Canis lupus familiaris: one gene and its partner. The protein of the gene in region 2 purifies or fractionates together with the protein of the main gene of each other region. This does not show direct contact. Links are inferred from orthologs where the notes say so. Each region holds a gene or a part of one and is shown on either strand. Other genes may lie near its edges. The genes, in order: RRP9 and FBL.

What was found.
Region 1: the proteins of FBL (region 2) and RRP9 purify together in Homo sapiens (affinity purification with mass spectrometry; 3 studies listed by BioGRID and IntAct, counting the BioPlex papers as one, with this or other methods). This does not show direct contact. The link is inferred for Canis lupus familiaris from reciprocal best matches to the Homo sapiens genes FBL and RRP9.

The regions. Positions count from the first base shown.
Region 1 is NC_049241.1:38,174,591-38,189,654, forward strand, and holds the start of RRP9 (U3 small nucleolar RNA-interacting protein 2), read left to right. Parts: upstream 1-7,942; 5' UTR 7,943-7,957; coding exon 7,958-8,044; intron 8,045-8,352; coding exon 8,353-8,435; intron 8,436-11,848; coding exon 11,849-11,958; intron 11,959-12,340; coding exon 12,341-12,408; intron 12,409-12,491; coding exon 12,492-12,533; intron 12,534-12,848; coding exon 12,849-12,975; intron 12,976-13,585; coding exon 13,586-13,710; intron 13,711-13,793; coding exon 13,794-13,886; intron 13,887-14,165; coding exon 14,166-14,266; intron 14,267-14,353; coding exon 14,354-14,488; intron 14,489-14,564; coding exon 14,565-14,627; intron 14,628-14,777; coding exon 14,778-14,923; intron 14,924-15,004; coding exon 15,005-15,064. Other genes in the region: protein mono-ADP-ribosyltransferase PARP3, read right to left, coding at 1,141-1,310, 1,933-2,088, 3,283-3,460, 3,704-3,790, 3,999-4,145, 4,394-4,620, 4,710-4,842, 5,053-5,241 and 2 more. UniProt on the Homo sapiens protein: Component of a nucleolar small nuclear ribonucleoprotein particle (snoRNP) thought to participate in the processing and modification of pre-ribosomal RNA (pre-rRNA).
Region 2 is NC_049222.1:114,412,786-114,427,818, forward strand, and holds the start of FBL (rRNA 2'-O-methyltransferase fibrillarin), read left to right. Parts: upstream 1-6,457; 5' UTR 6,458-6,603; coding exon 6,604-6,613; intron 6,614-11,609; coding exon 11,610-11,756; intron 11,757-11,870; coding exon 11,871-11,972; intron 11,973-12,062; coding exon 12,063-12,157; intron 12,158-13,402; coding exon 13,403-13,573; intron 13,574-14,469; coding exon 14,470-14,602; intron 14,603-15,033.

The DNA of each region.
Region 1 (15,064 bases), on a different chromosome or scaffold from region 2:
GTGGACACCCTCTTAAGAGATCAAAATTAACGTCACCTGTGGCTATAATGCACTGAGAACACACCATGTAGGTCACATTCCTGCCCCAACTGCAATGCCTGAAGCTGATCATAACAAAACATTAGACAAATCCAAATCTCGAGATATTCTGTAAAACAACTGGCCTGTCTCCTTCATCATCAAGAATGTCAAAGTTATGAAGGGAGAAGAAGGGCTGAGGAATGGTTTCAGGCTGAAGGAGACACATGAGGCATGACAACTAAATGTAATGTGTGATCCTGGACCAGTCCCAGACCTGCTCTCTAGCACCTGCACCCCCATTTGGGGACAGAGTTACCTGAGGGGGGGGACTGGTGTTCCCATCATGATTGTAGAGCAGTACCCCTTGGGTAAATGCTGAACTTATTAATAATATTCACATATGATACACGTGGATGTTTGGGCCGAGACATGAGGAATGCTTGATTTGCCCAGTTGTGTCTGGGCTAAAATGCAGAATCACCACGTGGGTCCCCAAATGCCCAACAGTTCTGAATTGGTGAGAGTCTCCTTTGAAAGCTCAAGGATCAGGAGGCCCGTTGTTGCAGACACAGATGTAGATCGGTGTGTGTGTGTGTGTCCCACATCAACCTTGTGAGTGCTCACTCCCTAGTGTGGGGTTAGGGCTGCTGTGTGGTGTGGTGGGTTTCCGACAAGAGGGAAGGAGAGCCAGGCCTTGTGCAGCTGCAGCACAGACAAGCAGAGACCAGGGAGTGAGCAGATACAATATTTAATAAACTTGGTATATATGCTTTGAAGTTCAGCCTACCTTGGTGCTCACACCTCTCGGACAGACAGTCTGGGGCAGGGCGGACAGCCTGGGTGGATGTGGGATTCCATCCATTCTCAGCCTGTGCTCCTCTAACTTGAATGGGCTGCTGTATCTGTGCCCCAGTAACAATGGCAGTCCATCACACCCAACACCTTAGGAGGCGAGACTCTGGAGCCATAGCCATGCCACGGCTAGCAAGGATTGGAGCGAGGGGGGGAATCACTGTCTGGGACATAAGAGGGAGATTTGGGGGCACCAGAGATGGGCAGGAAGGATGACAGTCTGGCCACCAGTAGGCCCCAGGCAAGGGGCAGGGGTAGGCAGACGGTTCAGAGGTGAACCTCCAGCAGGTAGCGCAGGTGACACTGGCTCTCCTGGTAGATGAGATACTCGCTCTGGAAGAATCTGGAGCTGCTGAACTCTGCACAGGGCACAGGCTGGCCCTGGGGCACCACCACTCGCTGGCCGTCCAGCTCTAGCTCGGTGTCCTGGGATGGATCTACAGGTATAGCAAGGGCCACAGGTGACTCAAGGGTCACTGATCCTCAGCTTCACCAATAAGTTCTGCCCCCTATGCTCCCCACTCTGCCACAGGGAACCCCTGCTCCTTCCCACCTTGCAGTCTCCAAACCACTGCGCAGGCTGGGCCTTCTGCTTGGAATATCCTCTTAATTCCTCTGCCTGGGAAATGCCTACTTACTTTTTTTTTTAAAAGATTTTATTTATTTGTTCATGAGAGACACACAGAGAGAGGGGCAGAGACACAGGCAGAGGGAGAAACAGGCTCCATGCAGGGAGCCCGATATGGGACTCGATCCTGGGACTCCAGGATCAGGCTCTGAGCTGAAGGCAGGTGCTAAACCGCTGAGCCACCCAGGCGTCCCTGCCTACTTACCTTTTGATGCTCAGTCATTGACACCTTTTCTTTGAAGCCCTCCTGGATGCTCAGGAGTGATGTATTGAATCAGCAAAGGTTTGTGAATGACATAGTAGGGAAGCCTCGTTCTTCTCGTTCCCCACCACTGCCCCTCCCCTGCCCACCTCCTCCCTGAAAGTTTCCCGGTCCCCTAGCTCAGCCCCAGGCCTTTATCCTCAGGCATGTCCAGCTTTTCAGGACCCACCAGGCTCTGTGGAGCCTCGGGCAATGACGCTGTCGAAGCCAGGGGGTGGCTGCTTCAAGCTGGGGTCGTCGATGGTGATGTGGTGCTCTCTGCCCAGTGCCACCTCACCCAGGAACATGTAGCCAATTTGGTGGGCTCCGCAGGATATGCCAGTAACTGGGGGACACAGAGAAGCTCAACATGGGCAGCTTGGCCCTCCTATCTGACTTCCTGTCCCCCACTCTGCTGCACTATTATCTCCTCTGGCTTTGTTGACTCAGCCCAGAAAAGTGCCCACTCTTCCTGCATCCTTAAAAACACCCCCTTGTCCTGGCTGTGCTCCCTCCCACCCGCTCCCCCATTCCTTGGATCCCTGAGAGCAGGCCTCTGCAGCCCCTGCCCCTCACGCCAAGGTCAGTTATGAGTCCCAGTGGCTAAATCCAGGGTAGATGCCTTCTCTCTCTGGCCAGCTCTGCTGATTTCGCCACTGGTATCCTCTGCCCCTTACCTGGGGACCCCCTTGCACTGGCTCTCCCAAGGCCACCCTCTACTCCTTCCTAGGCTCCTCTGTTCTGGTGGACTCCTTGCCCTGGGCAACCTCAGATATCCTAGAACATCATCACCTCCATCCAGCCTGGCTCTCCTGGCTCAGTGGGAGGTAGGAGTCTCCAATGATGCGCTGGCTGAGAATCCAGTCTGGGGAGGTGGTCTTAGTGAGGACACCTCTGGACAGAAACTTGGGGATGATGAGAGATACCTCCGGCCCTGTCACACAAGCTTCCCATCTCACTTCTCATGCATTCCTCTCACGGATACTCTCTTCCCCCACCTCCACTGCCTGGGCTGGATGCCTATCACATCTGGCCTGGGTGAGAGCATGGCTTCCGTGCACCTCTGGCCCAGTGGCCCTCCCCATGGCTACAGCCACTGAGATGCTCTATATACAAGTCTGGTTAGGGTCCCCATCACTCCCTGGATAAACTCCAGCCCCCTGCCTACACCAGGCATTTGCTTGGATCTTTATCATCAGGCTGTGCTCAGAGGTCCTGACCTGCTGCAGCCTTCCAGGGTTTGTGCTTCTGGCTTCTTCACCTCCAAGCGTCCTCTTTCACTACCTTCCCCCGCCCCCACCTGTGGCTGGCTCACTCATCCTGAGGGTGATCTGCATCACCTTCTCTGGGAAGGGAAGCTGCCTGCCACTTCTAACCTATCCCTGGCCACTGCCCTCACTTTGAGTTCCCCCAGTCCCCGGGGAGCCCCACTGAGCACTCTAGTCAGTAGCCATTCAAAGATTCCTCTCCCAGATCCACCACAAGCTGGGAAAGCACTAGGGCTAGTCCCCCTGGGGGTTGGCCCCGAGAGATACCTCACCATAGCCAGCCGACTTGCTGTTCTCTGAGGCAAAGTAGATGCCCTTGCCAACGCGGCCGCCAGAATGTGGCATGATGCGGAGCCCACTGGCAAGGATGGCGGCCACCACCGCCACGTTGGTGCCATGCCACAGTAGCTTTCGATTACTCAGCTTGGAGTGGGCCTGGAACCTATCTCCCTTCAGGGGAAGGAGGTGGAAACAGGGAGCATCACATTATCCAAGCTCAGGTGCTTCTCCCCACTGTTCAGAGGGCATGAGCGAAGCAAAAGGCCCCTGTGGCCAGTGACATATACTCATGCACACATACGCAAGGCCTGGGTCTGGCGGAAGCTGATGAGTTGCTACACCGACTTGTTAATGGGCACATAAGCTAGGGACAGGTAGTGAGGGAAATGGGTTGGGGGGGATACTTTCCCTTACCTCCCCTTCTCGGTTCACTTTCCAAATGTGTTGAAGAGCAGGGCACCGGTAGGTGCCACCAGTCTTTTCTAAATAGGTATGTATCACCTGCAGGAAAAGCAGAAGCTAGTTGCCAAGGGTGAGAGATGTGTGGACAAACCCCCACTGGTGCTTCCAGTCCCAGAGCTCTCCTCAGGCCCTACAGACACAGGGAGAGAAGGCCAAGGGCAAGCGGCTCTTCTGCACACCAGGAGGGCAGATGGGCAGAGGGACAGTGCCTACTGTTGTCCTGGCTCCTCTGTGGGACATGGCCCACCTTGTACTCGGGTTCCTCTGGGTCCAGCAGCTGGAGCTGGCACTTAAGGAGCTGGTAGTCTCGGTCCAGGGGGTGTGGCACCTCCTCCACCTTTTCCTCTTCAGGGGATGCCTGCAGGGTCTGGGCCAGCTCGATGTCTGCCAGCACCTACAGTGATGGACGCTGACAGCTTGTCTGCCTAATTCAATCCCAGCCTCCTCCCTCCCACACGACCTGGGGCCCCAGCCACCTGACCTGTGCACTCCCACCACATCTATCCGGCTGGTCCTCCCCTCCCCTGTCCTTCCAGCTACCCATTCAGTCCGCCTATCTGGGCCTCCTTGGCCATCTGTCCCCCATCTCCCTTGCCCAGTCTGTCTGTCTGCCCTGCTGCCTGCCTGCTTGCCAAACCTCACCAGCAGCATGTCCTTTTTGGCCTGCAGAAGCTCAGGGGAGTTGATGGGCGGGGGCCGGTTGCGGCTGAAGTTGTGGGGAATGACAGTGTAGAAGTGGGAGGACAGCTCCTCCAGGTTGGGGCCACCATCCGTGGGGGCTTTCAGGGCCAGCTCCAGAGCCTCCAAAGCCTCGAAGCCCCGTGCAATCTGCTGCTTGCTCAACTTCCCTAGGGGCATCTTCTTTACATCTAATGGGTGGAGAGAGTGGGGGAGACTCAGCCCTGTAGTCCTGCCACCCCCGTGGCCCCTGCCTCCTGACTGGCCCCTCTCTCCTCACCCAGGTTCATGAGGGTCATGGCATTCTTGAACATGTCCTTGCTGAAGATGTTGGTGATGAGCTTCTGTGTGGGTGCGTCCAGGGAGCAGGGCCGTACCCGCTGAACTATGTTCCTCACTGAGCCTCCATCCACCTAGAGGTAGAGGGCGTGGATGGGCAGGAGCAGCTGGGCACAGCCAAAGCAGAACCTGGCATTAGAGACTGGCCACATTGAGGCCAGAGAGGGGAGGTGTATGCCCGAGGTCACACAGCCGGGCAGTGGCAGAAGCCAACTGGCTGGGTCTCTCCTTCCAGTCCCCTCCCTCATACTGGGGCCCACCAACACACTTCCTGGCCATTTCACCTTCACCACGGCCTCCTGGGCCTCATCTTCTCCTTGTACTTCGATGAGTGTGTACTTGCCCGGGTGGGCCACAAAGTGGTCCCGCTCCACCCATCTGTTCTTGGTCTTGTCCTGAAATTTCTTCTCAAAGTCCTTCTTTGCATCCTCCAGCAACACAAAGTAGCTGAGCTTCGACTGGCCCACCTCTCCCTGCAACCAACAGCCTCAGGCAGCAGGGCAGGCAGGGGGTGCGGGTGCCTGCCACAGTTGCCCACTGTGAAACATCTGGTTGGCCTCAGCTGTGCCAGGCCCTGTGCCAGGAGCCCCTGGGCATTCAGAGGTGGAGAGAGGGTGCAGGCAGTTGCCGAGTGAGCTGTGGGGACCCTGGTGAGCAGGGGTGGGGAAGGTGGGTCCAGGATGGCAAGGTGGCACTCACCACGCGGCCCCAGCGGTTCCAGCAGGCGAAGCGGTCCCCCTCTTCCAGCAGCTGGATGATGTAGAACTTGTTGTTGTTTCTTCCAATGTTGGTCTGATTCAGGGTGCAGGCGTAGTCTTCATGCACCTAGGGCCGGAGGGGGGTGGTGCTCTGGGGAGGGCAGGCCAGCCTGGACGGCCCTCAGATGGAACAGGTGGGAGAGCAGGCCGTAGGGAGGGCAGGCCACACAGTGACAGGGGTTTGAGGGGAACAGCAGTCAGGATGCACTGGGACATCCAGGGGAGGCTCTATCAGGAAAGGCTTGAGGTCATGGTTCTGCCCTGGGGGCCACAATCTGAGGGAACATGACTAAACTCAGTTGGGGGAAGTTCTGGGAGGATGTGGCTGTACCCTGTGTCAGGGAATCAGAGGGAGACACTGCTTCTGCCCTGGAGGTCTGACAGGACACCACTCTGCCATGCAAAAGGGATCTCAGTGGTACATGGCCCTCTGGGGCTGCTTTAGGGGTTACAGGTGAGCCCTGGGGAGACTAAGGAGGTTGAAATCCTGTCTTAAGTATGGCAGGTGGAGGCCTGAGAAGCTTGGAGGCTTACCCTAGGGTCTGAGGAGCAGACATGACTTGCCTGGATCTGATGGGCTATAACCCTACATGACCGTTGGGGTCTCAGGGAAACATAGCTTCTTGGGAGCCTGAGCTACCTGGCCAGAGCCGAGGCCCAGTGAGGAGGGGGACTGGTCTGAGTGTATTTGTACCTAGGCTCCAAGTCTGGAAGGGGACGACAGATTACCTGGGTCTGAGGGTTGTGGCTGAGCGGGCATGCTGGGTCCACTCGGACTACGTGCTTCTCTGTGGGTGCAGCTCTGAGGGCCTCGGCAGTGGAGCGGAAGCTGTCCTCCTCCTCTGCACCCTGCCGCCCCTTCTTTTTTTCAGGGCCCTCCTGTTGCACCTGGGGCTTGCGCTTTGGAGCCATGGCTCTTCTGGGGCACAAAGAGGGCCCTCAGGCCTTCATGGCCTCTGCATCCCACCTGGCTGGCACAGCACCAACGTGCCCCACTCTGGGTTTGCTCTTTTGGTGACCCTCTCCCCATTGCCTCCCCCCTGACTCCATCTCTCCATTCTCTAAGCCAGACCAAAACCAGCTCTCTGTACCAGTCCCCTTTCCCTTTTCCCATTCGCATGGGCCAGGCCAGGACCCTGTCCAGTCTGCCCCAGAGCCTCGGAAGAATGGTTCCCTATTCTCTTTAGCAATCCAGTGTCCTGATGAGGGAGGAAAAGTGAGGAGAATCTCTTCTTGCTTCTGGTCTCCTCCTCCCTCCAGAGCACTCCCTGGGTATTGCCCGCTCCGCCCCTGTCTCAGCTGACTCAGATGGACGTGGCATGGCTGCTGGGCTGAGTCACCCCAACTATGGAGGAGAGTGGGCAGCAGCTCCCAAGGGCCACACTCCCGAGGCCAGATCTGTCCCTCTAGAACTTGGGACCCTGCGGCCCAGAAATCCTTCCCAAGGGGTTTAAAAGTTCTGGGGTGCCAGTCAGGGTCTGAGACCAGTGGGCCAGCACCAGCACCACCCTGTCCTGCCCTGCCCTGCCCTGCCCTGCCCTGCCCTGCAGGGGGCTGTGGGCAGGGCCATAGGGCACTCACCTAAAAGAAGGAGGGACCTGGGAGAGATGGCAGCCACGGATCTAGTATCAGGACCCCCAGCAGTTCCGGTTCTAGGGCCTTCTCCAGCAACCCTCTGTAACCTTAGGCGTGACTTGGGGCAGTGATCTCCCTACAATCGCCAGGGGTGGGGCAGGGGCAGCGCAGGGGTGGGGGTGTGGTTTTCCAGCTATCTGGCCACCAGTCAAGTGAGTCAGAGGCTGGACTAGCGGAGCCCAGCAGCCTGTCCCACGGACCGCTGGACACTCGACCGGGAGAGCCAGCGCAGCCCAGGAGGCTGACGCGTCCCTCGCGCCGCTTGAGTGGCCCGAGGCACGCAATACGTGTCCGCCGGCTGCCCCGTGACCTTGGGCCCAGGTGCGGGCATCGCCTCCCTCTCCTCCGGGCTGCCTACGTTTCCTCGCCGTTACCTAGTGCCAGGCTGGTTCACCCTAGCTCCCGCCCCCGACGGGGAGGAGCCCCGCTGCGAGACTCGGGGCGCTGCATCTCTGACGCCCCCCAGCGTCCAAGGGCCGCAAACACAGAGAAGGCGCTTCTGGTCCGGCCCGCCCCTTGGTCGCCAGCCCGCAGCAGGGCGCAGGCGCCGCAGCTTTGGGCCGGAAGCGCCCGAGGAGGCTTGGAGCCCGGAGGAAGCCTTGGAGGCGGGGCCACAAGCGCTTATCCTATGGGCGCCTGGGGGCGGGACAGAGCGTACAGAGGCAGCCAATGGGGCCGTGGGAGGCGGGACCCGCGGGGCACTGGGAGCCTATCCGGGCGCGGAGTCCTGCCAGACCTCCGGGGCTAGCAGCCACGTGAGTTCTCCGTGGCGGCCGCTGCGCTCGCGGTGGGCAGCATGTCGGCGGCGGCGGCGGCTCGGAAGCGGGGAAGGCCGGCCTCGGGGGCCGCGGCCGGTGCGGGGGCCGGCAAGCGGCGGCGAAAGGTGAGCCTGAAGCTTCTGCGGGCCACAGTCAGCCCCGCCGCCGGGACCAGCGTCGTCCGCCCCGGGACACCCGGGCCCCGGGCGCCTCCGCGGCCCTTTTTTCGGGACCCTAGCTGGAGTCGGCTTCGTTCCTCTCTCCGGGGGCCAGGTCCTGAAAGACCTTGCACTGGAGCCGGCGGGGGCGGGGGCGGGGGCGGGGAGGCCACTGCCTTTCCTAGTCCGGCGGCTCTCGAGAGATCGGAAGGCGCGCTTGGTCAGTGCCCGGTGGTTGGGACCCCGGACTAACGAAAGGATCATTTAATTCTCAGGCCGACTCTGCCGGGGACCGGGGCAAGTCCAAGGGAGGCGGCAAGATGAATGAGGAGATTTCCAGCGACTCTGAGAGTGAGAGGTGAGCTCTCTCCCACCTGGAGGAAGGGAACACTGAGGCTCATAGTGTATGGAAGACTCAGGGAGTCGGGGCAGAGCTGGGCCTTTTCGGCTCCTAGGTCTTGGCTCTTCCCTCCAGTTCTGAGCCTGATAGTAGGACTCGTCTTAAGGAGATTGAGAAGTTTCCTCTCCTTTCCCGGCAGGGTCTCTGTGTGGGGAGAACCCCCAGTCCCAATGGGAGACCAGTGAGACCTCCCTGGTTCACGGCAGGGACAGGTGCACAAGCTGGACGGGCTGGTATGGGGAGAGGCATGCAAGAAATGCTTGCTAGTTCTTCCATCTGTTTTCCCACAATGTCAAATTGCTGTTCTCAACATATGCCAGGCACTGGCTTTACTGTTGACAATGCAGAGGTAAGCAGGCAGGTGAAGACAAAATGGGTTGTAATGAAGTGGGTATTCTTCAGCTCTGTGTTCTGGAGACAGGGAATGGGACATTTAAATAGGGCCTGGGGAGATAAGGAGGAATCTGTCAGATAAGGAAGGGCAGGGAGGACATTCAGGGAGCAGAGAAAAGTCTAGGGCTTTACATGTGCCCAAGTGGGAGATGGACAGGTTGGAAAGGCAGGTGTTGGCCGCATCCAGGTTGTGGAGGGCTTTGAATACCTCCATTCTGCAGGTGACAGGGGTGAGACATGTTGCAGGGTTTCAGAGGAAGTTAACAAGGTACCACGCCTGAGCCTGTGGAATGGAGGCCATCATACCAGGGAATCCTGGGGCCTTCCTTAGAGTTGACTTTAGAAATTCAGCTTCTAGGGACACCTGGGTGGCTCAGCGGTTTAGCGCCGCCTTCAGCCCAGGGAATTAAAAAAAAAGTTCCATAGTTTTCCTGATCCTGGAGTCCTGGGATCGAGTCTCACATCTGGCTCCCTGCATGGAGCCTGCTTCTCCCTCTGCCTGTGTCTCTGCCCGTCTCTCTGTGTCTCTCATGAATAAATAAAAAAAATCTTAAAAAAAAAAAGAAAAAGAAATTCAGCTTCTAACATTGAGCACAAGTTGGCCTTAACATGGTCACAGGAAGACTTCACATACTTACTTTTAAGATCACTGTGGGTAGCAGTGTGCCTGGCCCTGTGCCGAACACTTTTAAATGTTTAAAAAATGTGTTGTGGGGCAGCCCCAGTGGCACAGCGGTTTAGTGCCACCTGCGTCCCAGGGCGAGATCCTGGAGACCTGGGGTCGAGTCCCACGTCAGGCTTCCTGCATGGAGCCCGCTTCTCCCTCTGCCTGTGTCTCTGCCTCTTTCTCTCTGTGCCTCTATGAATAAATAAATAAAAAAAAATCTTAAAAAAAATGTGTTGTGAATGTATGAGATACAGAAGAATCAATGAAATGTATTTGGACCATAGGGGGCAATGGTGAGATGATGAACCTCCGTGCACCCACCACTTAGGAATTTAGAGGCCCCAACTCTGCATTCCTGACTTAATTGTTTCTTTGGTTTTCTCCTTCCTTCCTTCCTTCCTTCCTTCCTTCCTTCCTTCCTTCCTTCCTTCCTTCCTTCCTTCCTTCCTTCCCTCCCTCCCTCCCTCCCTTCTTCCTCTTCCTCCTTCTTTTTCTTTTCATTTTCTTAACCAGGTATAATTTACATACAGTAATATTCACTTTCTTTAGTGTACAGTATGTGAGTTTTGACAAACACATATAGTGGTGTAACTACCACCACTCTGAAGGTGTGGAAGGGTTTCATCATGCGCTAGAACCCCTCCTGCCACACACAACACTCCCACCCCCCCTCCTTTGGAGTCCATGCCCCCCTCCCTCTAGCCCCTGCTGACTACTGTCGCTAGAGTTTTGCGTTTTCCAGGATGTCATATGATTATATGCTTCTTTTCCTTTTTTTAAAGATATTATTTATTTATTCATGAGAGAGAAAGAGAGAGAGAGGCAGAGACATAGGGAGAGGGAGAAGCAGGCTCCATGCAGGGAACCTGATGTGGGACTCGATCCCGGGACTCCAGGATCACACCCTGGGCCAAAGGCAGGTGTTAAACCACTGAACCACCCAAGCGTCCCTTCCTTTGCTTTTCTTTATAGAGTTCTATCTCCTACATGTGAACCCCTATACGATAGATTGATTAGTTTGGGTGAATTGAGCAGAAGTTTTAACCATAGATATATACAGGAAGGGCAGAACCAAGCCTGTTGGCTGAAGGCTTGCTGGGCACTGGGTACTAGATGGTCTCTGGGGCCTGGTTCAGCCTTGGCTTCCTTGGCAGTTTCCAAGGTCCCTTCTGGGGACATTGTGGACAAAGTCATAAATGAATCTTGGGGAAGCAGTTGGGCCATTTGACAGATACTAGGTATCTTCAGGCACAAGATCGGGGGATGGTTCCTGTGGCCTGCCTGTAGCTCCCAGGAGCAAGTCTGCGTAGGATGTGTCTTGAGTGAGGTGAGTGCTCTAGCCAGTGCGAATATGAGACATGTAATGGAAAGCTTCACAAGGTCAGGCCAAGACCAGTTATGTTTCACCTGGAATCCTGTCCTCAGGGTAGATGCAGTGAGAGTGAGGTAGGCACGTCCCCAGTGTGTCTGCCTCTTGCTTGGGTCCTTTTTTTTTTTTTAAAGATTTTATTTATTCATGAGAGACACAGAGAGAGAGACAGAGAGAGACAGAGACACAGGCAGAGGGAGAAGCAGGCTCCATGCAGGGAGCTTGACGTGGGACTCAATCCCGGGTCTCCAGGATCATGCCCTGGGCTGAAGGTGGCGCTAAACCGCTGAGCCACCGGGGCTGCCCCTGCTTAGGTCCTTTTATCGGATCTGGGCTGGCCATAGCTCCCCTGTCTGGGGATGCATGGTCTGGGATCTGCCTTTTCTGCTTCCCGTATTGGAGCTCCTGTTCCTTGTCTCCCATGCCTTTGTCATTCCCAGCTGACTGTCTTGTGTTGGGGCACGTCCCTCATCCTGTTGTGAGGCTTAGAGAAGGCCAGTCCTGTGGCAGCTTGTACATCTAACAGTGTCTTCACTGGTCATCGAGGGTTTAACTGGTGTGGCCTTCCAGGGGTTCACACCTTGTGTAAACAGCTCAGTATTTTGTGTATGTGGCTCCTTTGTTGACCACTGTTGCTATTGATTCCAGACCCTTCGTATGTGACCTTTCTTCAACAGCTTGTAGAACCTGCTCTTTCCCTCTAGAGTTAAGAGATTTCACAGTGATCTCTTTGGATTTTGGGTCTCTTTTCACCCTCATGTGAGGACTGGGTGGTTCCTTTCAGTTTGACAAGTTCAGTCTTTGGGTTTTCTGCATATGTAATCGTTGGCTATGAGACGGAGGGGGGTGGTTGAGTGCCAGGGGAAGCAGTGAGGAGGTATGGTCTTAGTGGCTGGAAGAGTGGGGTGAGCCCTCTGAGAGCTATTCCCTTCCTTCCCGCAGCCTGGCTCCTAGGAAGACTGAGGAGGAAGAGGAAGAGGAGCTGGAGGAGACAGCCCAGGAGAAGAAGCTTCGCTTGGCCAAGCTCTACCTGGAGCAGCTCAGGCAGCAAGGTGAGCCCATGCACTGGCAGGCAGGGGCAGGGCCTGTGTCCAAGACCACCTGCTGTGCCCCAGCCGCCTGACGGGTGGCTGAGCAGGTACCTGGTGGATTGCCAGAGCTGCTGGTGTGGGATTTCCTGAAGGAGGGTGGCTGGGAGACTAATGGGCCTCCTGGGGTGGGTCTGACCTTCAGGGGGCTTTAGCCTAATCTCTAAGTAATGGCAGGGGTTAGGCAGGAGGAGATCTCTCCTTTGCCCAAGGCAGCCTGAACTTCCCTTGGGACACAACCCGAGTGTTTGGAGCCCAAGACCAAGGCAGTGGGGTGGGGTGGGAATGGGAAGGGAAAAGTGGAGTCTAGGCCTACATTGACTTGGTCTGGTCTGTCCTTGCATAGAGGAGGAGAAGGCCGAGGCCCGGGCATTTGAGGAGGACCAGGTGGCAGGGCGCCTGAAGGAGGATGTGGTGAGTTGTGGAGGGAAGGCGGTGGGAGAGAAGGGTTGGGCTGGTCCTGCTCTTGGGAGCTCATCCCTCTCCTCTCTGTGCAGCTGGAGCAGAGGGGCAGGCTGCAGAAGTCGGTGGCAAAGGAGGTAAGCGGGCAGGGGACTTTGATGTAAGATTGAAGTGAATCATGGGTCCCACATGGGTAGGTGAGTGAATGGCCTAACTGGGGACTCAGGCTGTGGGGTTTTTGCTCTGGAACTTGGGGGGCACTTAGGCAGACAGAGTCAGGTAAGGGTCTGATGCTTGCAGCCCTGGTCAGGGTGGTGGGAAAGGATGGTGTGTGTGTGTGTGTGTGTGTGTGTGTGTACACGCGTGTGTGCACGTGTGGTGTGTGTGCGAGTGAGTGAGCATCTAGGGGCCTTCTTGTCCTCTGTGGCAGTGACCTCACTCTGCTTGCCCAGATTCAGGGCCCAGCCCCGGCTGACATCCGTGTCTTACGGGGGCACCAGCTCTCCATCACGTGTGTGGTCATCACCCCCGATGACTCTGCCATCTTCTCTGCTGCCAAAGACTGCACCATTATCAAGTGTGAGTGAGCCTGGCTTGGGGGTGCAGACCCGGGGATCTTTTGGGAGGGCTGATCTGTGGAGGAGGGAGTAATCAGGGCAGACTGAGGCCTGGTGGGGGAAGCTTCTGGACATAAGTTTATTCCTAAGGAGGTGTTCTCTGGGTGCCAGTGAAAGCTTCTGCCTAAGAGTGGGGCTTGAGCTCCCCGTCGCTGTCATTGGAGGCGATTGAACAGAGGCAGGATACTGATGAATGGGGATTGGTGCTGTAGGTGGGCAGTTGGAGGACACTTGAGGCTCTGTGCTGTCCTGGGATTGCATCCCGGTCTTCCTGGGTACCCCCCTTCGACAGCTGAGTACTGTTTTCATCCACCCTTAGGAGAAACTGGAAGAACTCGTACCCTTGGTCCTAAGGCACTTTCCTATCCTCTCTGGGGCTTCGTGGCTGCCCTTGGGGGGTTACTGTCACTGGGTGACAGATGAGGAACCTGGGGATTATACAGGGGCTCACGGCAGCCGAGCTGAGTTCTGCTCTGAAGGCACCACTTTCTCCACAGCCCCGTGCTGCCCCTGAGGGGGTTGCCAGCCAGTCCTACCCTCTGTCCCAGTAACTTTCTCTTTCCTGTTGTCAGGGAGCGTGGAGACTGGACGGAAGCTTCACGTGATCCCACGGGCCAAGAAGGGTGTTGAGGGGCAACCCCCCAGCCACAGCAGCCATATTCTCTGCATGGCCATCTCCTCTGACGGCAAGTACCTCGTAAGGCAGTGCTGGCCCCGGGGGGTGGGCGAGAGTCGGGGGCACACATTGGGTGCCTGTGGCCATTGTCCTCATCTCCACAGGCCTCGGGTGACCGCAGCAAGCTCATTCTCATATGGGAGGCCCAGAGCTGCCAGCACCTGTACACTTTCACAGGCCATCGGGATGCCGTGTCGGTAGGAGCTGTGGGCATTTACCAAGCAACCAAGTGGGCCGGGCTGGGGCAATGGGCTGAATGAGGCAGAGGGTGTCCATCCTCAGGGACATAAAGGAGGTGAAGGGGAATTGCGGGGAGACTGAGCTTGCCTAGGGAGTGGGGAGGCTGCTCAGGAGTGCACCGCTGCCTCCCTGGGCTTGTGACGTGCTTTTTAGGAGGAAATCCTCCCCCGGCGAGGACTTCTGTCTCGCCTGCTGTGGTCCAGGTCCACTTTTGCTTCCTGTCCATGTATCTGTAGGGTCTGGCATTCCGCAGAGGAACCCACCAGCTCTATAGCACATCCCATGATCGCTCTGTGAAGGTGTGGAACGTGGCGGAGAACTCCTATGTGGAGACACTGTGAGTGTGCACGGGGAAAGGGTGTGCAGATGCATGTGCCAGTGCACATGGGACCCCATCCTCCCTCTGCCCCCTCTCCCCCTCCAGCTTTGGGCACCAGGATGCCGTCGCTGCGCTGGATGCCTTGAGCAGGGAGTGCTGTGTGACGGCTGGGGGCCGGGACGGGACGGTGCGTGTGTGGAAGATTCCTGAGGAGTCCCAGCTTGTCTTCTATGGCCACCAGTAAGGCTATCCACTGGGCCAGGTCAGGGGAGAGGGGCTGGGGTGGGGCTGTGCCCCTCACTGTTCCTTTTGCCAGGGGCTCCATCGACAGCATCCAGCTTATCAACGAGGAGCACATGGTATCGGGCGCAGATGATGGGTAAGAGCTGCCTTTGGGATGCCTTGCACCACTACCGCTGCTCCTGGACTTGGCTCCAGGAACCTTCCCTTGTGGCAGTGGGATTCCTTTCTGCTGAGTGGCCTTTCTGCCCTACCCCAGCCCCTTGCCAATTATGTTCTTTGTCCACAGCTCTGTGGCCTTGTGGGGTCTCTCTAAGAAGCGGCCGCTCGCCCTGCAGCGTGAGGCCCATGGGCTGCGGGGGGAGCCAGGCCTCGAGCAGCCCTTCTGGGTATCAGCAGTGGCGGCCCTGCTCAACACAGACCTTGTAGCCACAGGTGGGTGCCCTTTGAGGCAGAAAAGAGGGGGTTGCAGGGTGGGCCAGTGCGGGGGCGCTCACTATCTCCCTGACCCCTCAGGCTCCCACAACTCTTGCGTGAGGCTCTGGCAGTGTGGGGAGGGCTTCCGGCAGCTTGAAC
Region 2 (15,033 bases):
GAATGGGGTGGCAAAATGGAAAGATAGGGACATGGATAATTAAAAGTAGATGAGGGGAAGATGAACAATTGAATGGAGGGAAGGAGTCAAAAATGGAAAGAGGGTGAATAGATTCTGGCTTTATAATTTATAATCCAACAACTTCTCTGCCACTTGGTTTCCATATATGTCTTAGTCTATGCAGCTGCTATAAGAAAATACTGTAGAATGGATGGCTTAGAAACAGCAGAAATTTATTTCTCATGGTTCTGGAAGCTGGGAAGTTCAAGATCAAGGCACCAGCAGATTTGGTGCCTGGCGAGAGTCCTCTCCCTGGTTGATGATTGGCTATCTTCTCATATGTGTCATCATATGGCAAAGGGCCAAGGGAGCCCTCTGGGGATTAGTTTATAAAGGCACTAATCTGGGGCGCCTGGGTGTCTCAGTCAGTTGGGCATCTGCCTTCAGCTCAGAGAGAGAGGCAGAGACACAGGCAGAGGGAGAAGCAGGCTCCATGCAGGGAGCCCGACGTGGGACTCAATCCTGGGGCTCCAGGATCAGGCCCTGGGCTGAAGGCGGCGCTAAACCACTGAGCTACCCTGGCTGCCCCAACATAAGCATTTTGAAGGGACTCAAGGGTTCAAACATTCACTCAACAGCATCTTATTTGCTTGTTTGTTTGTTTGTTTGTTTGTTTGTTTTAGAGAGAGCACTGTGTGAGCAGGGGAAGGGGGAGAGGGAGAGGGAGAGAATCTCAAGCAGACTCCTTGTTGAGCACGGAGCATGATGTAGAGCTCATCTCAAGACCCTGGGATCATGACCTGAGCTGAAACCAAGAGTCAGATGCTTGACTGAGCCACTCAGATGCCCCAACAGCATCATATTTAAAGCAGAGTTCATGATAGTACCTACCTCATAGAGTTGGAGTGAGGATTCAATGTGTCCATTCAATCCACAAGTCAAAATTTGAAATCTCTCTTCCTTTCTAAACCCTTCCCCCACCTTTCCCATGATGGCCTTACCCACCCAGTGACTAGCGCTGCCAATACTCACTGTAATAGAAAATAGGGATCGTTCTTGATTCTTCCCTCTCTTTTGCCCTCCACTCAGTTCATCCACAAATCCTGTTGGGTTGTATCAAAATGTACCTGAAATCTGCCTTTCTTATGCCTACTTGATACAGCCATCACCCCTTTATGCTGATGATGCCAACAGCCTCCTACCTGCTCTTCCCCTTTTGTAATCCACCCTCACTGCTATTTGATGACTCTTCCTAACATATAAGGGGGACTATTGGCTAGAAACTTCTCATAATAAAATCAAATTCGCCATCTTGTCCTATAAGGCCCCTGCCCACCTCTGCTGACTCATCTCCAATCACTGTCCTCCTTGCCAATTATGATTTGGGAACTTGATCTTTCAATGTACTGAACATGCCAGATTTTTCCCACTTTACTTCTTTGCAATATGCTGTTCTTTGCACTTACCAGATGATTAGCTGCTTCTCATCCTTCAAATGTCAGCTTACATGTTAGCTTAAGGCCTTAGAGAGGCCTTTCACAGCCACGTCATTTAAAGTGGATTCCCTGTTACCCTCTGCGCCAGATGCTTGCCTGCTTGCTTATTTCCTTCCTAGCATTTGTTACACTTTAAAATTACTTTTATTTGACTTTCTGCCCATTTAGAAGTAACTCAAAAGCAGAGACTATATCTGCTTCATTCACCACTTTATTCTCAGCACCTAGCACACAGTAGATACTCAGGACATACTTATTGAATGAATAAATGGCCAACGATTAACCTGGAGTAAAGAGTTGCAACATACCTAGTAAAGGATTATATCCACAATATATAAAGAACTCCTTCAAATCAATAAAACAAGATAGCAGCCCAATTAAAAAAAAAAAGAGTGGAGAATATACATATGCAATTGACAGAGAAAGAAATCTACATATGTTGAATGATTCAATAGGTCAGGTTATCCATATATAGTATTTCTGAGCTTCCCAGCAACTCTGCAAAACAAGGATAGATATAAAGAAATAGACTTATTGAAGTTAAGTTGCCCAAAAGCAGGTTGTAACAATGGAGCCTAGATTTGAATTCAAGTATGCCACCAAACACAGTCCTTTCCACCGAATTTTGGTGAGTCTCACATAGGCTCAACTCCCTTTCAAGAAAAGGAATTGAGATGCCCTAAAAATTAAGATGAAAAAGAAACAATCCAATAGTAAAAGAGGCAAAAGGGCAGCCCCGGTAGCTCGGGGCCGCCTTCGGCCCAGGGTGTGATCCTGGGGACCTGGGATCGAGTCCCTCATCGGGCTCCCTGCTGGAGCCTGCTTCCCCCTCTGCCTGTGTCTGTGCCTCTCTCTCTCTCTCTGGCTCTCTCTCTCTCTCTCTCTCTCTGGCTCTCTCATGAATAAATAAATAAAATCTTTTTTTAAAAAAAAGAGGCAAAAATTTTAGATAGCTAATAGATAGATACAAATGGCCCTTAAAAATAAGAAATGCTCAGGATCCCTGGGTGGCTCAGCGGTTTGGTGCCTGCCTTTGGCCCAGGGTGTAATTCTGGAGACCTGGGATTGAGTCCCACGTCGGGCTCCCTGCATGGAGCCTGCCTCTCTCTCTCTCTTATGAAAAAATGAATAAAATCTTTTTTAAAAAAATAAGAAATGCTCAATCCTACCCATATTAAGAAAAAGGGAAATTAAATCACCCAAGATACCACTTCTCACCAACCAGATAGACCTCAACAACAGAATTTACTGACAAGGCTATCAGGAAAAAAAAAAAAATCTCATATCCTATCACTGGGAATGCAAACATAAGTCTGATGCAGGGAAACTCAGCAGTATCTTTCAAAATTATAGATGCTTTTTTCTCCCGACCCAGTGAACTCACTACTAGGAATCCAACCCAAAGCTACAATGGCAGTAAAAGGATATAAGCCAACGCTGTTCATCACAGTGCTCTTTATGGTTTAAAAAGGAGGGGAGGGGTGCCTAGGTGGCTCACTCATTTAAGTGTCTGCCTTTGGCTCAGATCGTGATCCCAGGGTCCTGGTCTCCCTGATCAGTGAGGAGTCTGTTTCTCTCTCTCCCTCTGCCCCCACCTCCGTTCATGCTCTCTCTCTCTCTCTTAAATAAATAAAATCTTTTTAAAAGATTTTTTTAAAAAAGATTTTATTTATTTATTCATGAGAGGCAGAGAGAGAGAAGGCAGAGACGCAGGCAGAGGGAGAAGCAGGCTCCAGCAGGGAGCCCGATGTGGGACTCCATCCCGGGGCTCCAGGATCAGGCCCTGAGCCGAAGGCAGATGCTCAACTACTGAGCCACCCAGGGGTCCCAAATAAAATCTTTTAAATAAAGAGAAACAATTCAGATATCCATCAGCAGCCTGGTTGATTTACATATGAACTATTCTGCAGATGAAAGTAAAATAAGGCATATTTGGAAACACTGTTACTGGAGTGATCTCCTGGTTATGTTATGAAGTGAGAAAAGCAAGGTGGGAACAGTGTCCATAATGAAAGAGACCTGGGATCCCTGGGTGGTGCAGCGGTTTGGCGCCTGCCTTTGGCCCAGGGCACGATCCTGGAGACCCGGGATCGAATCCCACGTTGGGCTCCTGGTGCATGGGGCCTGCTTCTCCCTCTGCCTATGTCTCTGCCTCTCTCTCTCTCTCTCTCTCTCTGTGTGTGTGTGACTATCATAAATAAAAATTAAAAAAAAAATGAAAGAGACCTAAGAGAAGGAGTACAAGGGGCTTTTAGAGTACTGGTAATGTTCTATTTGTTGACTTGAATGGTGGTGGTATGGGTTCTTCCCTTTGTGATAACTCATAAAGCTGGGCAGTTACATGCACTTTTCTGTAGGCATGTCATACTTCCCCAAAAAAAACAGTTTTAAAATGAAAAAATCGTAATCTCTGAAAATTCTTGGCCAGTGTGTGTGTGTGTGTACGTGTGTGTGTGTGAGAGAGAGAGAGAGAGAGAGAGAAAGAGAGAGAAAGAGAGAGAATGAGAGAACAACCAAATGAAGGGAACTTGTTTGGACCCAGATTTAAACAAGCAGCAATTTTTTTTAAAGATTTTATTTATTTATTCATGAGAGACACACAGAGGCAGAGACATAGGCAGAGGGAGAAGCAGACTCCCTGAGGGGAATCTGATGCTGGACTCGATCCCAGGACACCGAGATCATGACCTGAGCCAAAGGCAGATGCTCAATCACTGAGCCACCCAGGTGCCCTAAGCCATTTGATTATTACACAGCTCCCAGAAATCCAGAATAAACTCAGCAGGTTTTCCATCTTAACATTTAAACAGATTTTCAGAAATGCATCTGCGTGGCTGGAACACCCCGCACAAAGAACTCAAAAGCATTGGTTCAGTCATTCATTCAACAAACAGTGACTGAGCACCCACTTTGGGCCAGGCCTTGTTCTAGGTACTGAGTGATACAGCCATGAATGGGACAGGCCAGTGCATTCTCCCGGAGGTTTTTAGTTGTATCTCATAGTAGCACTTGTTTTGCTTTGTGCAATGAATGTAAGGATGAATATTAATATTATAAAATTACAAAGCACCAAATTCCCAATACTTCCTTAGAATCTGCTCACTCGTCCCTCCTTCCTCTGCCTATACCCTGATCTTGTCCATCCTTGTCTGCTAGCTGATCCACTGCAGCAGCCTCCTCCTTGGTCTCCCTCCTCTCAGGGCTGTTCCCACACTCTGTTTCCCATGTGCAAACAAGGTGATCCCATGTTAGATCACATCCCTTCTTTGTTCAAGAATCTCCCATAGCTCCATCTCACTTGGAATAAAAGCCAAAGTCCTTTCACTGGCACCCAAGATCCTCACACAATTTCCTTTGTTACCTCCGGGCTCTCATCTCTTTCTGCTCTGCTTGCAAACTCTGCCCCAACCACACCCCTCACTGCCTCTCCAACCCTCCATACCATCCCCGCCCCAGGACCTTTGCACCTACAATCCTCCATACCTAGACCTCTCTTCCCCCAGATAGGTGCATGCCTCACTCCTCATCCCTTTTAACTCTTTGCTCAAGTCACTGGATGCATTCCTTGATGCCTGATTAAGAAAGTCACCTCTCCTCCAACTGTCCTATCTTCCTTTCCTCCTCTTATTTTCTCCAAAGTGATGAAGTTTGGGAATTATAGGTGAGGTTTGTTGGGGTGAAGTCCGGAGCCGACCACCAAGAAAGAATTATTGAGACATTTTTGGTGCAAAATGATGGTTTTATTAAAGTATGGGGGCAGGACCCAGGGCTGCTGCCTTGGGCCTGGGAGGGGTGGCTGATTATGTACCTGGGAGCCGGGAGGGGTTTGAGGATAGCACACTCTCTCAGGAATTTCGGAAGCAAGGTTTCCAGCACCTTGAGGGGGTAGCTATTGTTGGGAAAAGGGCACTTATTACCGTCTAATAAAACCTGAGTCATGAGACCCTTCAGATGTACCTCGGTGGGCCACGTGCTTGGGGGATGATTGCCAACATGTATCTTGGAGACTTAGAAATAAAGGAAATTTCTTTTTCTTTTTTAAATTTTATTTATTTATTCATGAGACACAGAGAGAGAGAGAGAGGCAGAGGGAGAAGCAGGCTCCATGCAAGGAACCCGATGTGGGACTCGATCTTCCATCTCCAGGATCACGCCCTGGGCGAAGGCAGGCGCTAAACCGCTGAGCCACCCAGGGATCCCAGAGATAAAGGAAATTTCTAAAGGAATTTTTTTATGTTAAAGTAGACTCACAGGATCCTGGGGGTCAGGCTAATATTGCCTTTTGCCCTTAACAAAGTATTAACATCGAGGCAGTTGAGTCCATAGAGGACTGTCCCTCTGCCTGTCTCAAGGACTTGTCAATGTGCTGCCCTGGGCCGGTGCTTTGTCCTCAGCTAGTCCTCTGTTCCTCCATCAAAAGCACTTTTATTGCCTTCTAATAACTTAGTTGGTGTCTGTTCCTCCCACTAGAAGATGAACTCCGGGGATCCCTGGGCGGCCCAGCGGTTGAGCGTCCGCCTTCCGCCCAGGGCGTGATCCTGGGGTCGCGGGATCGAGTCCCGCGTCGGGCTCCCTGCATGGAGCCTGCTTCTCCCTCTGCCTGTGCCTCTGCCTCTCTCTCTCCGTGTCTATCATGAATAAATAAATAAATCTTAATAAATAAATAAATAAATGCTTAATCGACTGCATATGTGTGAGCCCAGAATCGTCCGTGTTCGTCGGGTGGAAATGGGTCAGGGAAAGCTTTCGGGTGTAGACCTTAGGAAGTTAATCACAAACAGAGCAGAGGGGCAGCAGGGAGCACAAGAGACGAGCCCCGGCTCCGGGGAGGATCGCACGCCCAAGAGAAGGCGGGAAGCGCGCTCAGCGTCGCGATGGACGCGCCTAAGGCCGCCCACGGGGGCGGCGCCCTGAGAGGCTTGCGAAGCCCCGCCCACAGCGCGCGCGCGGGGCTCCGGACGCGGAAGGAGCTCCGAGGGGCGGGGCTGCGAGGTTACGTCACGCGCCGTGCGTCGCCGCGCGTGCGCTCCTTTCCACGTGCGAAAGCCCCAGACTCGTGTAGTCCCGGCCGCCGCGGAGTCCTGAGCCGCGGGGCTGAGCTCTCGCCATGAAGCCAGGTGCAGGCCGGGGTTGAGGGCCGGGGTCGGGGACTGGGGGCCGGCGGGAGCCCGAGGGGCGGGGCCCCGGCCTAGGGGCAGGGGGTCCGGCCGCTAGTGGGGAGGGGGTCCTGGTTCCGGTCGCCCGTGGCGGTGGCGAGGGGGTCTTGGCTCCTCCCTGTGAAGCGACGCTGAGTCCGGGGTGCGGGTTCCTGGTCTGGGGGTGTGTGACTGGCTTCGGAGGTCACGGTCGTGAGTCGGGGGTCCTGGGTTTGGAAGGGGGTTCCTGAGCTAGGATTCGACTCCCTGAGGCCGTCATTAGGGGTCCCGGTTATTGGGCTGGGGGTGGCAGTCGGGACAACCGACCCAGAGTCTGGATCCAGGCGTCTGGGGTCTTGGATCTCTGGCTGCGGGATTTGGGGATTATGTGTTGGCTCGGAGGTGAGTCCCGATTTGGGGTCGGGGAGAAGCCCCGTTTGCTTCGCGTGTCGCCGCAACCAGAGCCCCCTTAGCTCCCAGACCAGCTTCTCAGAGAGGGCCGTAGTGAATGAGGACTCCCGGCTTGGGAGTGTGTGGCCCTTTCTGCCCCACTTTCCCGCTCTCTACTCTCCCGAGGGGCGGGTCTCCGAGGTGTGAGTGATCGTGATGCTCAACTCGCGGTGAGATGAACCTTCACGAGCCCAAGACGGGCTTAGCGTGGGGTGGGGGAGGGAGATAGTCACAGGACGCGTGAGTGATTTTATTCATTTGATTTTCCCCGAGATTCTGGTGAACCCACCCCGCCTCCCCCGTTGGTAGATCGATGAGAGGGCAGGCTTTGACAGAAGAAAGATCTCAGTTCAAAACTTCAGCACTAGCTTTGGTTCTTAAGTTGCAGCGTGACCTTGGGCAAGTGGCTTTACTTCTCTGTTTTCTCGTTTGTAAAATGGCGCCCAGTTATAATTTAGCAAGATCACGTTAAGAAAAAGTACATATTGTGGTAATCTCTTTGCAATAGATTAAGTGTACAAATAAATCAACAGGTTGGCATATGTGATGTTATATATACATGTCAGTTATAGTTCAATAAGGCCGAGGGGGAAAAGCACAGGACTTGACATAATAGTATTTGTCTCCACCTCCTGTTATCTTTATCATTCCTCTCAAGAGGCACAAAATTAGGGTCTTTCTTCCTGGTGACTTGGGGCTTCCTAAATCAGGCAATGCCCCTCCCCACAACTTGCTTCGCTAGAGTTTGGGGAAATCTTCCACTGTGACCCAGAAGGTCTGTTTCCTAGTACAGGTCTTTGTTTTGCACTTTGCACTTCCTTTTTCTCCCACCCTCCCTGCGTGTGTGGAGAGATGGGGTCATCTGGTGGAGGGGGAGGGTGGGTTTCTTCAGGAGAAAGAAGACCTGATGACCTGATGAAATGATGGGCGGGGAGGCAATGCTGGACTGTGTCTCTCCATCATACCCCGGCATGCCTGCAGGCACCCTACAATTTGATTCCCCCAGGAATGGAGGATATACCTTCCGCCCAACCATTCCCTCATTGTGTTAGGATATGAAGCTGCAGCAGTTAAGAGTCAGCTCTTCACTAAGGGTTTGAGTCTGACAGAGAAGAAGCCCTGGGGAGATTTTGAGCAGGGACAGAATGCTGTCTGATTGACACATTTAAAAGGATCCTTATTGTTTTTTTATGTAAAGGGCATCAGGGGAGCACAAGTGGAAGCAGGTGCATTAGCAGGAAACTTGTGGTGATTTAGTAGGAGATGATGTGGCTTGGGCTAGGGTGGTATTAGTGGACCTGCCTGACAAATTGTCACACTTTGGAAATATATTTTGAACATAAAGCCGACAGCTTGTATGTGGGTATAAGAGAGATCAAGGATACCTCAGGGTGTGGACACATGTACCTGGAAGGATGGAGTGTCCATTTTTGAGATGGGAAGGTTCTAGGAGGAGAGCAGGGTCTAAACCTGGGGGTCCGTGGAACTTCCTCCCAAAACTTCTGGAAATGTGTGTGCAAACGTGTGTTTTCCTGAGGAGTTGGTACTTCTGGTACATTTTTGTAAGCTCCCCTGGACCTGAAATGAATAGATATGTTTTGAGTACCTAGAACTGCAAGTTGACACTCATGCCCCCAGGTCCCCTAGCTATGCCCACACTTCTCAGGTCACTGTTCCATCAGGCCTGGGATGAGAGTCCCTTCAGCCTAGTGATTTCTCCCCTAAGTGGAAGGACAGGGGGACTCTCCTTCCCCTCATTAAAATACTCCTGTTCAAACTGTGTACCAGGCAGTGTGTTGAGGGAAGTGCTTTGTGTGTATTAAGACATTTTTTTCCTACAATGTGTGATTGTTATCGCCGTATCTCTGTCTTACAGGTAAAGTTTTCAGGATTCCCATGAACCTTCCCTACTCTCTAGGGCCGTGAGTGGCATCTCCATCGCCCTGTACGGGACACATGAACTGATTGAGGGGCGGGGACTGGGGCTCCCTGAATGAACAGAGAGAGTGCTTCCCCCGCCCGGGGCAGAACCCAGGGATTTAAGAGTCATCAGCAGACAGCTCACTTAATATTTATTGAGCCCACACTTTGTGCCAAATGTTGTGCATGGTGCTGGGGATGCAGAGTGACCAAAAGTATTAAAACATCCCTGTCCCTTGGGATGCTGGTGGGGAAGTCAGGCAGTGATAAAGTAAAAAGTGCCATGTGTGATGCTTGATAGGAAGAAGCTAAAGGTAGGGAGCCCGAAGGCCCTGAGTTCTCAGGAAAGAATGTTTCATCAGAGAGCTGAGTGCAACGAAGAAGTGGGTGAGCCCAGCTAATGTGTGCAGGAAGGACAGCAGGTATGAAGGGCTTAGAAGCTGGAGAGTGAGTTGAGGAGGAAGGGTGCAAGGCCCAGAACAGAAAGCGTGAGGGCACAAAAGTCAGCGACATTCTTAGTTCAGGCTGCACATTTCAGATTGCCTGGGGAACCTTAAAAAGCCCAATGCTCAGGCCCCTACACCTAAATCGGGATCTCTAGGTTCCAGGGATTAGCCAAAGGTGAGAGCCACTGATTTCAGGCTTTGGAAGCCAGAGACAGGAATTTCAGTTGCATTTTCAACATGATGGAAAGCCATTGGAAGGGATTTAGGCAAGGGGATCAAGAGATCCAATTTTGTGGTTTGGAGAAGGTCCATCTGTAGCTGCCCTGTGGGCAGGAGCCTGTAGAGGGAGTAAAGGCGACTCTTCGGGAATTCTGAAACTTAACTTTTAGTACTTAAATTAGGAATAATGTTTAAAAGCTCTACATTTTCGTCTTTTAAAAAAATTTTTTTTTCTTAAAGATTTTATTTATTGGGCAGCCCTGGTGGCCCAGCGGTTTGGTGCCGCCTTCGGCCTGGGATGTGATCCTGGAGCCCTGGGATCGAGTTCCACGTCGGGCTCCCTGCATGGAGCCTGCTTCTCTCCCTCTGCCTCTCTCTCTCTGTCATGAGTAAATAAGTAAAATCTTTAAAAAAAAAAAATTTTTTTTTTTTATTTGAGAGAGAGCGAATGCACAGGAAGGAGGTGGGCAGAGGCAGAGGGAGAAGCAGACTCTCCTCCCTTCTGAGCAGGGGAGCAGGGAGCCCGATGCGGGGACCCATCCCAGGACCTCAAGATCATGACCTGAGCTGAAGATAGCTGCTTAACCGACTGAGCCCCCCAGGCCGGGCGCCTGCGTATTTTCATCTTTAACACCTTTACAGTGTGTGAAGATTTCATAGCGCGCAGATATAACGCACCTTTACAAAAAACTCTAGCTAGTTTACTATTGAGTAGTTGACATCAGGTGAGGTCATTTTAGAGCATCCCTAATTGTCACACTATTGTTTTGTAACTTGTGCTTTGCCCAAAGTAGTGCAGAGCTTAGGACACTGGCGCAGAAAAGTCAGATAGTGAATCTGTTAGCACCAGGAGAATGCCATCTGCTTCTGCCGTCATTACCAGCTCAGTGCAGCGCATGTTTGCTCTGACCTGAGGTGATGAAAATCAAGTCTTCCTGAATCTTTTTTTTTTGCCCCCCTTCAGATTTCAGGCCAGGTAACAAGCCCTAAATTGCTTATGTGCTGTTGCCCATCCATAAAGGACAACTCGACTTTTTTCTTGTTTTTTTTTCTCCCTCTGAGCTGAGAGAGACCTCTGCAAGTTTGCAGGAAGGTCGATGAGGTAGCAAGAAAGACATCATGGCCAACTCCCCTCTGTTTAGGGGTTGGCCTTTTTCCTCCAGACTGAAGTTCAGGAGTGGGAGGGCACGGACATGGTTTCAGGGTCTGGGGGCCCTTCCTGCCACGATGCGTGCACAGGCTTCAGACTAACACTGAAAATAGAGTGGATCTTCAAACCTCCTATCTGACCAACAAAAGCAGCATGTTGACAGTAACCTACATCTACCTGGGTATCCCTCCCCTACCTGAATCTTGTTCATATTCCCCTCTCAATCCCCAGTATTATCAGCTTTGCATTTATCGTCCCCTTTCCTCTTTTGGGGGGTGGCATGGGGCAGGGTTACCATGTATATCAACACAGCACGACGTTGTTTAAATTTAGCTGTTGCTGAGCCTTATGACCAATACTGTGTTGGACATGGTCTTCGAGTTGCTTTTTCACTTAACATGACTCTTAAGTTTGTTGGTTTTTTGGGTTTTTTTAAGATTTTATTTATTCATGAAAGACACACAAAGAGAGGCAAAGACATAGGCAGAGGGAGAAGCAGGCTCCCTGCGAGGAGCCCGATGCGGAACTTGATCCCAGGACCTTGGGGTCACAACCTGAGCCAAAGGCAGGTGCTCAACCACTGAGCCACCCAGGCGTCCCATGACTCTAATAAGATTTATCTACCTGTTGTAATTATATAGATCCTCGTCACTGGTGCTTATGAATACTCCCCATTTTATTTGTCCATTCTGCCAGTGGACATCTGCATTGGTCCTGATTTTCCTGTGTGGAATTACGAGACATAACTTCTCAAACTTAATTGCCCCAATTCCTCTTTCTGTTGCCACTACAGGTTTCAGCCCCCGCGGGGGCGGCTTCGGTGGCCGAGGGGGCTTCGGTGACCGCGGTGGTCGTGGTGGAGGCCGAGGAGGCTTTGGTGGGGGCAGAGGTCGTGGTGGAGGCTTTAGGGGCCGTGGCCGAGGAGGAGGAGGACGAGGTGGTAAGTGACATTGGGAGTGGGTGGGAGGTGGGATATGATTAGGAGGCTTTCCCTGGGCTTTGGGAGGGAAGAGATCATGGGATCTCCCTCTCTCACTTCATCTCTGCCTTGTAGGTGGAGGTTTCCAGTCTGGCGGCAACCGGGGTCGTGGTCGGGGAGGGAAGAGAGGAAACCAGTCGGGGAAAAATGTGATGGTGGAACCTCATCGGCATGAGGGTGAGTGGGGAGGGTGCAGAGCTGCTGAGGGTAGGGTGGGTTGTGGGGTGCAGCCCAGAGTCTTCACCCTGCGCTGGTCTCCTCACTTAGGTGTCTTCATTTGTCGAGGAAAGGAAGATGCGCTTGTCACCAAGAATCTGGTCCCTGGGGAATCAGTTTACGGAGAGAAGAGAGTATCGATTTCGGTGAGACCAGGGCCCCAACTGACAGGGTAGCCAGCGGTCTGGTCTCCCTACCCCCACCATGCATCCTACACATGCCAGCTAGGGAGTCACCTTTTTCTTTTTTTTTTTTTCTTTTTTTTTTTCTTTTTTTAAGATTTTATTTATTCATTCATGAGAGAGACAGAGAGAAAGGTAGAGAGAGAGGGGAGTGGAAAGGCAGAGACACAGGCAGAGGGAGAAGCAGGCTCCATGCAGGGAGCCTGACATGGGACTCGATCCTAGGGCTCCAGGATCATGGGCTGAAGGCAGCGCTAAACCGCTAAGCCACCCGGGCTGCCCGGGAGTCATCTTAATACATAAGTCAGATCCCCATTGCCTTCAGGTTCAAGTCCCAGGTCCTCAGTGTGGCCCAGAAGACCCTGCACATTCCAGCTCCCCCTCCCCACCCATGCCCCCACCCCTGCCCCAGACCTAGAGTCTTCTAGCCATACGGGTCTCCTTGCTCTTCCCTCTATCTTGAATACTCCTCCTCTCCAGCTGTGTGTATGTCTGGTTCCTTTCATCACCAGCATCTCTGGTCAACATCACCTTGTGTTTCTCACAAGGCCACCTTGTGCCACCCAGTCCATGAAAAGCAGCCTACCCTCTGCTCTATTATCCCACTTCACCTTTATGATGAGGCACGCTCCTGCTCAGGGCTTTTTGCTGCCTTTCCTGCTGCCTAGAATGTGCTTCCCCAGGTGACTTGCATGGCCCCCACCTCCTTCGGGTCTGCATATGTCTCCTAGGCACTTCCCTGGCCACCCTGCCTCATTTTCACCTGTTCCTCAGCCCCCTCCCCCTACTGTATGTCCTTTCCTGGCTTGATCTTTTCTCCTTAGCAACTGTCACTGGCTTCTGTACTGTACGTAGTTTGGTGTAGACTTGCTCCTTGAGGGCAGGGGTCTGTCTCATTCACTATGTAGCCTGGCATAGGGTCTGGCACAGAACATGTTGGCACAGCAAATGTTTGTTGAATGAACACACAGGTCTTGCTGTTAACTGATACGATCTTTTATCTCTGTGTTTATTGTCTGTCCCTGCCCCTTCTACCTGAGTCATTAACCTTCATGAGAGGGCAGGTACTGCATCCATCATGGTCACTGATGTGTGCCTGTGTTCATTTCTTGAACAATGAATGAGCGCCCTAGGCCCTAGGGCTAAGGGCAGTGGGGTCTAGCAAAAAAAACCTGGCACTAACTTCTATCCCCATCTCTCCCGGCCCAGGAAGGAGATGACAAAATTGAGTACCGTGCCTGGAACCCCTTCCGCTCCAAGCTGGCGGCAGCAATCCTGGGTGGTGTGGACCAGATCCATATCAAGCCAGGGGCCAAGGTGCTCTACCTCGGCGCTGCCTCAGGCACCACTGTCTCCCACGTCTCTGACATCGTAGGCCCGGTGAGTGGATAGAGGGTTAAGGAGGAGTGAGTAAGGGCAGGTGGTGAGGTGAAAAGGAGGCAGAGACTGCCTCTGCCAGCCTGGAGTCAGTGGGCCTGGCTGCTTCCCTGTACCATGTGGCTTGGGGCTAGGCCCTTCCTTCAGAGTGCCTGTAGTAGAAGGAGCAGCTTGAAGCATCCAGTCTCCAAAGGCTCATTTAGTCCCATTCCTGAGTTCCTGGTCTGGAGGGAAGGGACGTGGGTATTGGCGTAAGTGCAGTTAGAGGGGCCCCGGGGTCGAAGGTACAGATACCAGAGTGTTGGATTTAGTTGTCCTCTTTAAAAATGTATGCCCCCAAATCTGGTCTTGTGGTTTCTCTTAAAAGAACAGGTATTAGTTTCTGGGCCTACATTTCTGTGTCACTCTGCAGGCTCCTTGGTTAGAGGTCACCCGTGCATCTCACTTCAGGACCTCTAGCCCATCTGCATGACTTTGTAGGCTGTGTAATGTAGTGGTTTAAAACCCCAGGCTCTGTTGTGGGCGTTTAACAGTGAGGTGGTTTTCGGCACATTTCTTAAACTCTCTGAGCCTCGGTTTATGCCTCTGGAAAATAAGGTTGCTGTGAAGATACTTGTAATTCCTGTAAAGTACTTAGAGCAATGCCTAGTCCATTGTAAGTATTCTTAGCTGTTAGAACTTCATCTCTGTGCCTGGCTTCCTCGTTTGAAGCCTGTACTGGGGAGACTGGACTCTCAGATCAAGCAAAGTGGGATTGAATAACCCTTGGCAACAATACGTTGTCAAATGGTAGGGTTTTGATTCTGTGTGGATTTGAAGAGATGCTACATGCAGTGTTTGAGCTTAAAGTAGGTATTCCATCTAAAAAGTAGTATCAGTGTTTTTATTAATTGTTTTAGGATGGTCTAGTCTATGCAGTTGAGTTCTCCCACCGCTCTGGCCGTGACCTCATTAACTTGGCCAAGAAGAGGACCAACATTATTCCTGTTATTGAAGATGCTCGGCACCCACACAAATACCGCATGCTCATAGGTGAGGGGTCTAGGGATTGGCTCAGATTGTGTAGGCCAGGGCACTCCAGGTTTCTTGGAAGAGGTGGCCAGAGCCCTGATTCAAATGTAATCAGGATGGATGAGTAGGCCTCCTGAGTCTGCAGGAATGAAGAGGGTGAGGGGAGCCAGGTGAGGTTGTGGAGCTTGGGTGTCTGGCACCCCTGGAAGGCTAACCTTTTTTCCTTCGATCTCCTGCCCCTCTCCCTAGGCACCCCCATACTTCTGCCTACTTCTGAAACATGGTATTTTTTATGCTGCCCCCCTTTTTATGATTGATCATAAAAAACAGTGTGGCCTGGCCCGGAGGGGCCCATTGTGAATATTACTTTGGTTTTTAAAGATTAAAAAAAATGGAAGTACAATATAAAACGTGTTGCTACTGTTACACTCCTTATAAACCACCCTCAGAGG